3 linked regions of the Tribolium castaneum genome follow. The protein of the gene in region 1 binds, or shares a complex with, the protein of each later gene. Links are inferred from orthologs where the notes say so. Each region holds a gene or a part of one and is shown on either strand. Other genes may lie near its edges.

The links.
Region 2: protein lin-54 homolog (region 1) and retinoblastoma-like protein 1 share a complex: the UniProt entries of both Homo sapiens proteins name them as parts of the DREAM complex. The link is inferred for Tribolium castaneum from reciprocal best matches to the Homo sapiens genes LIN54 and RBL1.
Region 3: protein lin-54 homolog (region 1) and lin-52 share a complex: the UniProt entries of both Homo sapiens proteins name them as parts of the DREAM complex. The link is inferred for Tribolium castaneum from reciprocal best matches to the Homo sapiens genes LIN54 and LIN52.

What each region holds. Positions count from the first base shown.
Region 1 is NC_087399.1:5,902,938-5,906,054, forward strand, and holds part of protein lin-54 homolog, read left to right. Parts: intron 1-721; coding exon 722-1,711; 3' UTR 1,712-3,117. UniProt on the Homo sapiens protein: Component of the DREAM complex, a multiprotein complex that can both act as a transcription activator or repressor depending on the context. In G0 phase, the complex binds to more than 800 promoters and is required for repression of E2F target genes.
Region 2 is NC_087396.1:19,760,481-19,763,898, reverse strand, and holds the end of retinoblastoma-like protein 1, read right to left. Parts: intron 2,545-3,418; coding exon 2,367-2,544; intron 2,317-2,366; coding exon 2,185-2,316; intron 2,133-2,184; coding exon 1,969-2,132; intron 1,715-1,968; coding exon 1,414-1,714; intron 1,366-1,413; coding exon 1,247-1,365; intron 1,199-1,246; coding exon 890-1,198; 3' UTR 543-889; downstream 1-542. UniProt on the Homo sapiens protein: Key regulator of entry into cell division. Directly involved in heterochromatin formation by maintaining overall chromatin structure and, in particular, that of constitutive heterochromatin by stabilizing histone methylation.
Region 3 is NC_087402.1:6,135,752-6,138,746, forward strand, and holds lin-52 (protein lin-52 homolog), read right to left. Parts: upstream 1,633-2,995; 5' UTR 1,519-1,632; coding exon 1,485-1,518; intron 1,292-1,484; coding exon 1,202-1,291; intron 1,151-1,201; coding exon 1,049-1,150; intron 996-1,048; coding exon 850-995; 3' UTR 603-849; downstream 1-602. Other genes in the region: probable protein phosphatase 2C T23F11.1, read left to right, coding at 2,165-2,783.

The sequences.
Region 1 (3,117 bases):
TGGTAAATTATGTAAAAGATTACGGAACCTAGATAAAAGTAAACCGAGAAATTGCTAAATTCTATGAAAAATGATTATATTTGGACCATTTTTGGTTCTTTTTGAGCTGAAAACTCAAGTTATTCGCGAGGTTTTGTTAAAATGGATCAAAAAATATCACTAATTATGTGAAAAAGTATAAAATTTTTATCTTTTCAAGAAATATTAGTGACTTTTACGGCCAAAAACGTAAATTTTTCGTAAAATATTAACCTAAAAACAATAAATAATGTCAAAAACGGTGTAATTATCATTTATTTAAAATTGAAAAATGTTTTAAAGTATGTTAAAAATTGTGCCATTTTTGCATTTTTTGAGCGTTCAAGCACCTTTTACCAATATTTTTTTTTGGGTGTTTGTACCCGTAATAGGTACATCTTAATCTCAAATAATGACTTTATTTCTGCCTTTTTTTTGGTGCTTGCAGTACATTTTGCAGCTAGTAATATACTTATTTCAAAAATTTTCGTCGAAAGAACCGTCCAAAAATAATTTAGTTGGAAAATGGTATCACCTGTTAAAAACTCAGTTTTCGAATTATTTCATTTAAACGACCCAAAAAAATAAATTTTGAATAAAATGATATATTTGTTTTTTTCGTGTATTTTCCAAAATAAGCCCGGAACTTGGTCGAAAAACGCCGTTGTGTTTCAATTTACTGAATTAATTTTCTCCTTTTCAGATGCAATACATTAAGTTTGTGACGGCCACCAATGCCGAGACCACGCCCTTTTCCTCGGGAGCCTCCACCCTCACGACCGTAAAATCGTCAATGCAAGCGTCCCCAACCAACATTGTCTTGTCGGAACTCAAACCGGCGTCCCAAGGCGCAACTATCGCCCCCAAACCGTTGAAAAACATTGCTGCAAAAGCCCCCGTCAGCAGCAGTCAAGTGGTGATGTTGCCAACGTACGTCCAAGCCAAAGTGCCGATCCCCATGCGCCACACCTCCGCCACCAAACAAATATCCGCAGAGAGTATCACAATGACACCCGAGTCCAATCTCGAGTCCAACGGCATAAGACCCCGAAAACCGTGCAACTGTACCAAAAGCCAGTGTTTGAAATTGTACTGCGATTGTTTCGCAAACGGCGAATTCTGCTACATGTGCAACTGCATGAACTGCTTCAACAACTTGGAAAATGAGGATCACAGACAGAGGGCGATCAAGACATGTCTCGAACGCAACCCTAATGCTTTTAGGCCGAAGATCGGCAAAGCGAAAGACGTGGCCGGGGACAGTTCGATCAGGAAACACACAAAGGGGTGCAATTGCAAGCGGTCGGGCTGTTTGAAGAATTACTGCGAGTGTTACGAGGCCAAAATCGCCTGTTCGAATAACTGCAAATGCATGGGGTGCAGAAATATCGAGGATTCGATGGAGAAGAAGAGTCTGAGGGCCTCGATTGAAGACGGGTTGCATAATTTGCAAGGGAAGATGGCACAGACCAGGGATCCGCTCCAGTTCAGGACAAGGAGGACGTCAAACAGCCGACAAGCGATTAATTTCATAACGGATGACGTTATCGAAGCGACCTCGCAGTGCATGTTGACCATCTCCGAAAGTGGGGATGCAAATATGCAAGATGAGCAAGTGACGAAAAGCCAGATTCTGGAAGAGTTCGGGAGGTGTCTCAAGGAGATCATCGATTATTCTATGTTGCACAACTGATGAAGTAGCGCTACGTGAAGTCAGACTTAAGTGTAGGTTACTAACTTTATTTTTATTTCCTAGGTTTAAGTTCAAATAAACTTTAATTACGGTTTTAAGGGCCGGTTTTTGCCCAAAACAACTACCCTAACGTCTAAAACCACTTAAAAATAGAAATAATTTCATTTTTTTAAATTATTTCCTTGAAACCCTTCGGTTTTTTTGCGGACCAAGTTTAAAAAAATTGCTGATTTTTCCTGTGTTTTAGCACGTACTTGCAAAATTTCGTTAAAAAAGACTGAAAAATCAAACTAGACCAAAAGTGGGCACACTGTTCAAGCGGCCGTGCAAATGCACAAATTTTAAACTCGGTGTTTAAGAAAATAATAAATAAAATCGTTTTACAATTGGATGTTATTCTTAGGTTAAATCATCACCTCACAGACGTTTTAAATTTTTGTAACCAACGGGTTAAACAGCTTAATAAATTTATCGTTTTTAGGGAAAACCTAATCAAATAAATCATAAATAAAAATAAATAAATAAATAAGACCCCTAATAAAATTTATCAAAAATTACGTACTATTTTTTAATAAAATACTGAAACGACCAGTTTTTTCTTTATTTAATTTTTGGAAGTATTAAATTCTGATAATGTTATTTATCTGAAAATTTGTGTACAGCTATAATCTGTTGTCCTGACCAATGAAAATTATTTTAAATAGAAAGATATGTTTTTTTACTGTGTTTCTGGGTATCTTGAGTTATTCCAAAAGGATTTTAATCGGCTGTCCCTATACGTAAATTTAACCGTTTTCAAAATATTTAGGGATTTTTTGAAAATCTCTGGTTTTGCATCTTTCACTTCAAAAATCGATAATTCTGTCATTTTTAGTTTTAGAAATCGTATTTGGACAATCAAAAAAATCTTATATTTTTTCTTCAGTGTTTTCAAAATTGGAAAAAAGTTTACAAACTTTAAAACCTGAACGTTGTTTTTGAACAATTTCTACAAGCTATAAGTCAATTTTTTCAAATAGAATGCCCCAATTAAATAGCATTCCCTAAATTCATTAAATTTAGATTTAAAAAACTTTGATTTCTTATATTTTATTCAGTTTCCGTGAATTTTTCAGTGCCAACAAAAAGTTCGTATAACTTGAAATCTGTTAAACATAAGTATAGGAAATGTTAATACAGATCGCTGCAGAATTAAATTCTCTACCATTAATTAGTGAAATAAAAATTGTGGCATTTTAATTGAAAATTTTTAGTTATGGTTGTTTGAAATTCTGCAAACTTAATCTTAAAAATTTGGAAAGGAAAGGAAATAAGGCAAAGATCTAAACCTTCTTTTTCAAATAAGCCAAAAATTTTTTAAAACAGCAGAGTTATCAATTTTTGAAGTCAAAGATGCAAATCGAAAA
Region 2 (3,418 bases), on another chromosome or scaffold:
AGAGCAAATGTTAAATAAGTAAATACTCGAAGATTTTAATTCAACAACGATGCTTCAAGCTAGCGTTTGGAGCGGCTTCTGGTAATTTTAAGCGCCACCCTGTATATCTTCGAGTCAAAAAAATCAAAAAATTCTTGTTGCGAAATTAAGTCAAATCGTAACAAGAAAAAACACAAACTAACGGATTTGGGATAAAAAGTAAATGTTTATTAATTGGGTTAAAACAATTTGCTTTTGAAAGCCTGGCAAAACGTGTACTATTTTTTTCTGTTAAAAGAAAAATGACTTGCTAAGGTCTCCTCATGTTTGAAGCTGTAATATAAACATTAGAACCAAGGCTAAAGTCCACAAATTTTGTAGAAAAGATGTTAAGTTAATCCTACTGACTGCGCCATTTAAGTTTGGAAAAAATATACTTGATAAGACGAAGATAATTTTAGAAATGGATATAAGGACAAGGCTAATAAAAGTTCTTCAATCATTTTTGGACAAAAAATAATATTCGGCACTTGTGGTTGTAAAAGGAGACTTAAACAAACATGGTCATTCAATTGGTCAATTTATTCAAAATAGACGTGAAGTTTACTTCGTACAAACCAACCTACGACGAAATTTTTGCTGATAAAGTAAAAAGGCAAACACACGATAAAACTTTGACGTAATTTAATTAATTAAAACGAAAAGTTGAGATAAATTATTTTAGATGTTTCAGTACTCGACCCTTTGAAGGGAAACTTCCAAGCATATCACAAGAACAGTGAACAAAAACCAGACGCCAGCATCAACTGGTGCCAAAATCGAAAAAATTAATATTTTTAGAATTAAAAAAGTTTGAATTATGCTAGAATTAAACTTTATACATAATAAACGTTAAAATCTAAATGAAACTTCATTCAGTGTTTTGATTTCTTCTTTCTTCAATCAAAGACTGCACTTTTCTCTTTGCCAGACGTTTCGAGTCGGGCAAGTCGTTCTCGCCCTCCACTAGCAATCGTTTTCCCGTCACACCATTGCCCCTTATGGCCTTATTGATGTCTTTCAAGTCCTTAGAAGGACTTCGGCTGAAATAGTAGTTCAGGACTTTGCCATTGCCGAAAGTCAAAGTCGGACTTTCCAGTGGCTTGATAAAAATGTTGTCAAACACTTGGACCACTTGCCCCCTGGACGCCGGCAGTGGACTCAAAAGTATATCTCCGATCTAAATCACAAAAATAAGACGTTACAAACAAAACATTTTCGAACTTACGTTTTCCTCGCCTCGGACTACGAATTTCTGCGCAAACTTTTTCATTGCTTGAATGATCACTTTGTTATAAAACTGTATCAAGTCACCCCATTCTTCCGGAATTTCGGTCGTCTCCCCATCTGAAATATTCCGTAGAAAAAACGCAAACTGCGTCATTTGGAGCTTACCAACAACCACGACTTTTTTACTGCTTATCAGAACGTTGCGATAAATGTCACTCGTGGCCTGAGGCTGGCTTCTATAACTTTTAATAATTTCCGTAAAATTTTTGTTGAGTTTCGTAAGTTTGCATATCATGTAGACGGCACACATTAATAGCTGGTCCAAATTGCGGTCTTTCATCAATTCGCAGTGGTTTTTGCGAACCAGTTCCTCAAAGACCGTCCAGATTTTGCGCTTAGTGTCCGTGTTTGTGATTTTTAAGTGTGTGCACAGGTGCTCCATCCGTTCTCCAGATAAATTATAGAACTGAAATTACGAATGTGTCTTTAGTGGACATCTGTTAGTAGGGTAATATAAATTTTGTTAGCACTTGTGCACGGATTTATGGTCATTCTTTACCCATGACGACCGCATATAAAATTTTAACAATTCACGGAAAAAATAAAAGCGTTTAATTACTACACTGAAATAAACCCAATTCTAGAAAGTAGAGCAGATTTGTTTAACACTTGGATGCCATTAAACCGCAAAATTATAAATTTTAACGGGACTTTACTTACTTTCCTGAATACTATTGACACACCTCCTGTTCTTCTCGGCCTGGCTTGAGCTACATTCTCCTGACGTTGTGGAGTCGTCTGTTGAACTGGCACCGGGGTGCTCTTTTGCGTTTCACTATTTACGATAGGAATCATGCGAGTATTCCCAGTACGATCTTTAATCACTAAAAAACGCAAATTTTGATAAATGCGTTAATTTAGTTGATTAAAACTTACTCAAATGAGTCGTTTGGAGTAGAGATTGACCTGACTGAACTGTAGGAAACAATTCTCTATTCACAGCACTGCTGTGTGCTACTGGTGACTGAAACCGGTCTGTTGCAGAAGGGCCAGGCGATACAATTTGTCCTACAATTATTTTTGTAACAATCGTATAACATAAAAAATAGCAAAAATACTTGGTTCAGAATTGAGAATACTTCTCAAGGTTAAGTTTTCAGAACTTGGTTCATTTTGCATATGCCCTGGCAAAGCCGTCTCTTCGAATTTCGGTACTTCCCTATCGGAAGATGTTATTGCTTCCCAAATTAAACTGTCTGATTTCCAGACCAGCGAGGAAAGTATAGTTTCCTCGATCTAAAAACGACAGTTTCATACAAAACAGAGTAAAGGTGGAGAACAGAATGAGAAACAGAAACTGCTGACTAATTATAATAAATTATCAGTGATTGAAATAAATCATAATCCTTCTTCACTGTTTGCTTTATATGTAGAAGATATCTGAAGCTTTAAAACAAAATATTTACTCGTAAATTCGACAATTAAATATTCAAATAAAATACAGTTATGCATTTCTTATTATATGGCCCTTGAAAACTTTCAAAAATTGATTAAAAGAAGAGGATTTTTATAAAACCTGTCTACAAGATAGTGTAGAAAAATCAATTTGACCTAATTTCTTAATGATTTTTCAGTCCAGTTTATCAAAACGTCGCGAAAAACCTGACTATTGAGCTCAAAAATGTGTTTTATTTCTCGAAAAAGATTAAAATAATTGCGTTTCTTGATGAAAAACACGTTTAAACCCTTAAAAAAAGCAAAATAAATGACATTCTCAACCGACTTTGACGATTTTTCTGGCAGAGATTAGCGAAATTTAGCGAAGAAAATGAGTTTTTAGCTCAAACACGTACTTACCGCTTCAATTTAAAGATTTCGTCTTAAATTAAAAATTTGCTAACTAGAAAATATACTTAAACCATTTAACGTAATTTAATTTTTTAGTTCAAAAAAAACCAGACAATAACACCGTTTTCGAGCACAATAATTTAATTTCTTTAAACTTGCGCCAAAATTCTTTAAAATAATTGTGTCCTTACATATGCAAACCGTGTTAAAACCCTCTTAAATAGGAAATAAATGTCACTGCTAGTTTTTTTTCTGCCCCAGTTCAGCGTAATTTCACGAACAAATTTAGTTTCTAGCGCAAACACGTGTTTAAATGGCGAAA
Region 3 (2,995 bases), on another chromosome or scaffold:
TAATAACGCTCTAAAAGAGCAGAAACGGACACAAAATTCATAAAAGTAAAAATTTTTACATTTTCAAACTACAAACAGTAGCCAACGCAGAAACCATATGAAGGTAGGTGCATCTTATTTAACGCCAAGTAAAAAATATTTGATTTATGTGTTGTTTTTTTTTCATAAATAATTCCTTTATTTTCTAATAATCATTGTTTACCTCATCCTTAATTCCTTTTTTCCTGGCAAGAATGTTCTAAACCTTCTTCTGGTTCTTGCTGGACAAATGAGTTATTAATTTGACTAATTAGAGCAATCCTTAAATACGAGTTTTTTAACGCAATTTGCAAAATCGAGAAATTTTATAAAAATTAAAAAAATGTTAAGGTCCTAAGGAATGTTTGTCCGAACATGATTTTTTACAGTTGAAGGCCCTATTAGAGAGCTTAATCTCCTGCAAAAATAATTATCAATTTACATTCCACCGGATATTTTTAATCTAGGAAGCTGCTGGGTTCAGTAATAATAATAATAATAATAATAATAATAATGCATCACCTCATTATTGTTTTGGTGAGCTAACGGGGAACAAAATTTTAATTGTAGAAAATGAAGACACCTTTTACAAAACCAAATTTATTTTCGATTTTTATTATACAAACGAAACTTCAGCAGTGCAATATAATACATAAATCCTTTTGAAGCACTTGCTTAATAATACATTACAAAAATGATTTTCTCCAGGAAATTAACGTACAATCACTTCTTTAAACTTAAACTTATAATCCTATGTACAAATATATTTCCCCTGCTCTTTTTATAACTTCCACGTTATTTGGAACCTCTACTTAGGTAACAAATTGCAAATCATTTCTGCTTCTGCCTGGGCTTAAAAACATTTAAGTATTTCCCCCTTGTGACTTCTTTCGATTCCTCAACACCCAACTGATATGCAATATCATGCAACTCCTTGACTTTAGAAATCAGTCCAGCTGTTGGAAGAGCTGCTAATTCTACAAAAACCACACTCTTCTCTACAATCACACAAAAACTAATCCAAACTTACGGTGCAGATAATTCTGGTCATCCTGACTCAATTCCTTCGAGTAAGGCAGTTTTACGGCACTTGGTGGCGTGAAACTGTTTACAAAATCTGTCATTCCTGGATCTGAAACCCTATTATTGCCCTAATCCCACAAACATGTGCAACGCTACTTACACTTCTCTGGCCAAATTTCTGGAGAGGCTCTATCCAGATTTTCCATACTCATTAAGGTCTGCTCTAGATCGCTCAAAGATTGATCTTGCTCTAGGAAATGCAACAAATCAATTATATTTTGACAGATTGACATAAGCCACTCTGTTTAAAATGCGAACTTGTCCACGCACGCTAGCCGACAATTTCGCGTAAACTGTCCATGCAAGGCCTCAACAATCGTTTAATAATTAAATTGAGCCAAAAGTAACATTTACAGGGTGATTTTTTATTAAAAATGCTTTACCTTGTTCAATGCTCCCGGGTTTCTCGGACGCCATCTTGCAATTGTGCCAACTGCAGCAAACGTAATCAAAAGGCTGCGCTTTTAGGGGGACTTTGAAAGCGGCAAAGAAACACTATACAGAACGAGCAAAAGTCGCAAATGACCCTAATTGGGTGTCAACCCCGATTCACTTGCCCCCAATTTCGTAAAAGTTTGGTTTTTAAATTTGGCTGGTGTATTAAGTGTCGCAATGTTGGCGCTTCCCTCGCCAAGATTGTAAAATCAAATCGTAATTTAATTAGTAATAAGTAACAACGAATTTATTGTCAATAGTTTTTATTTGAAGAACGTGCCGCACATTTTTATTGTTTAGGACATAAAAAAGTTTTCGGCCTTGTGCACAGGCGATGACGCACTCAGCCGGCCGCGTCCCAGCTCGACATTCAAACGTCAAGTTTCTCTTTTTTCGAAGAGTTCTCTCCCGATTAACCTAAATATTGCGTTCCATATCTCGTGACACACAACAGCAAAAAGCGGTGTTAATTAGCGTACGCAAAATATGCGATTCGATTTAGCACAAGTATGCTAAATAAAACCCATCCAAAGAGCAGAGTTCAATTTTGAGTAAGTAGCGACGGTTTTTTCCCGCTTGCCTCGTGTTTTTGCGCTTTTTGCGGACTTATCGCCCTTTCAGGGGTACTATGGGTCAAACTTTGTCCGAACCGGTGACTGCCAAGAACACAGCATGCTGCCAAAACGCCAATTTCCAAGTGGGCTCAAGTTCGATGCAGGGCTGGCGCATCAACATGGAGGACTCCCATACGCACATCTTGTCCCTGCCGGACGACCCCGAGGCCGCGTTTTTCGCGGTCTACGACGGGCATGGGGGCTCCAAGATCTCGGAGTACGCGGGCAAGCACCTGCACAAGTTTATCACGAACCGGGAGGAGTACAAGAACGGCCAGATCGAGGAGGGGCTGAAGCAGGCCTTCTTGGAGATCGACCGGGTCATGCTGGAGGATGAGTCGTTGAGAAACGAGCAGTCGGGCTCCACAGCCGTCACTATTATTATCAAAAATGGCACGTTGTACTGCGCCAACGTGGGGGACTCTAGAGCTGTGGCGAGCATTGGGGGCAAGGCGGAGCCGCTTTCGAACGACCACAAGCCGAACAACAAGGAGGAGTACGACAGGATCGTAGCGGCGGGAGGGTTTGTTGATTACAACAGGGTTAACGGGAACTTGGCCCTTTCCAGGGCCCTCGGTGATTTTATTTTCAAAAGAAACGAGGATAAACCCCAGGAGGAACAAATCGTTACAGGTAAGTCTGGAAATTGCGAGCTAATCTTGTTTAAACACTGTCAATATTTATGTTAGTCTTTTATGAATTGTGTATATTTAGATCAAGTGAGTAATTGGGTACTTAGGTAAATAATTACATCAGTTGATGGATGGTCCCATTTGATTCAAAGGGTGTGTTATTTTTAAAGTTACGTTGTCAGCATATGTTACGAATTAAGTAATCTGGCGGTG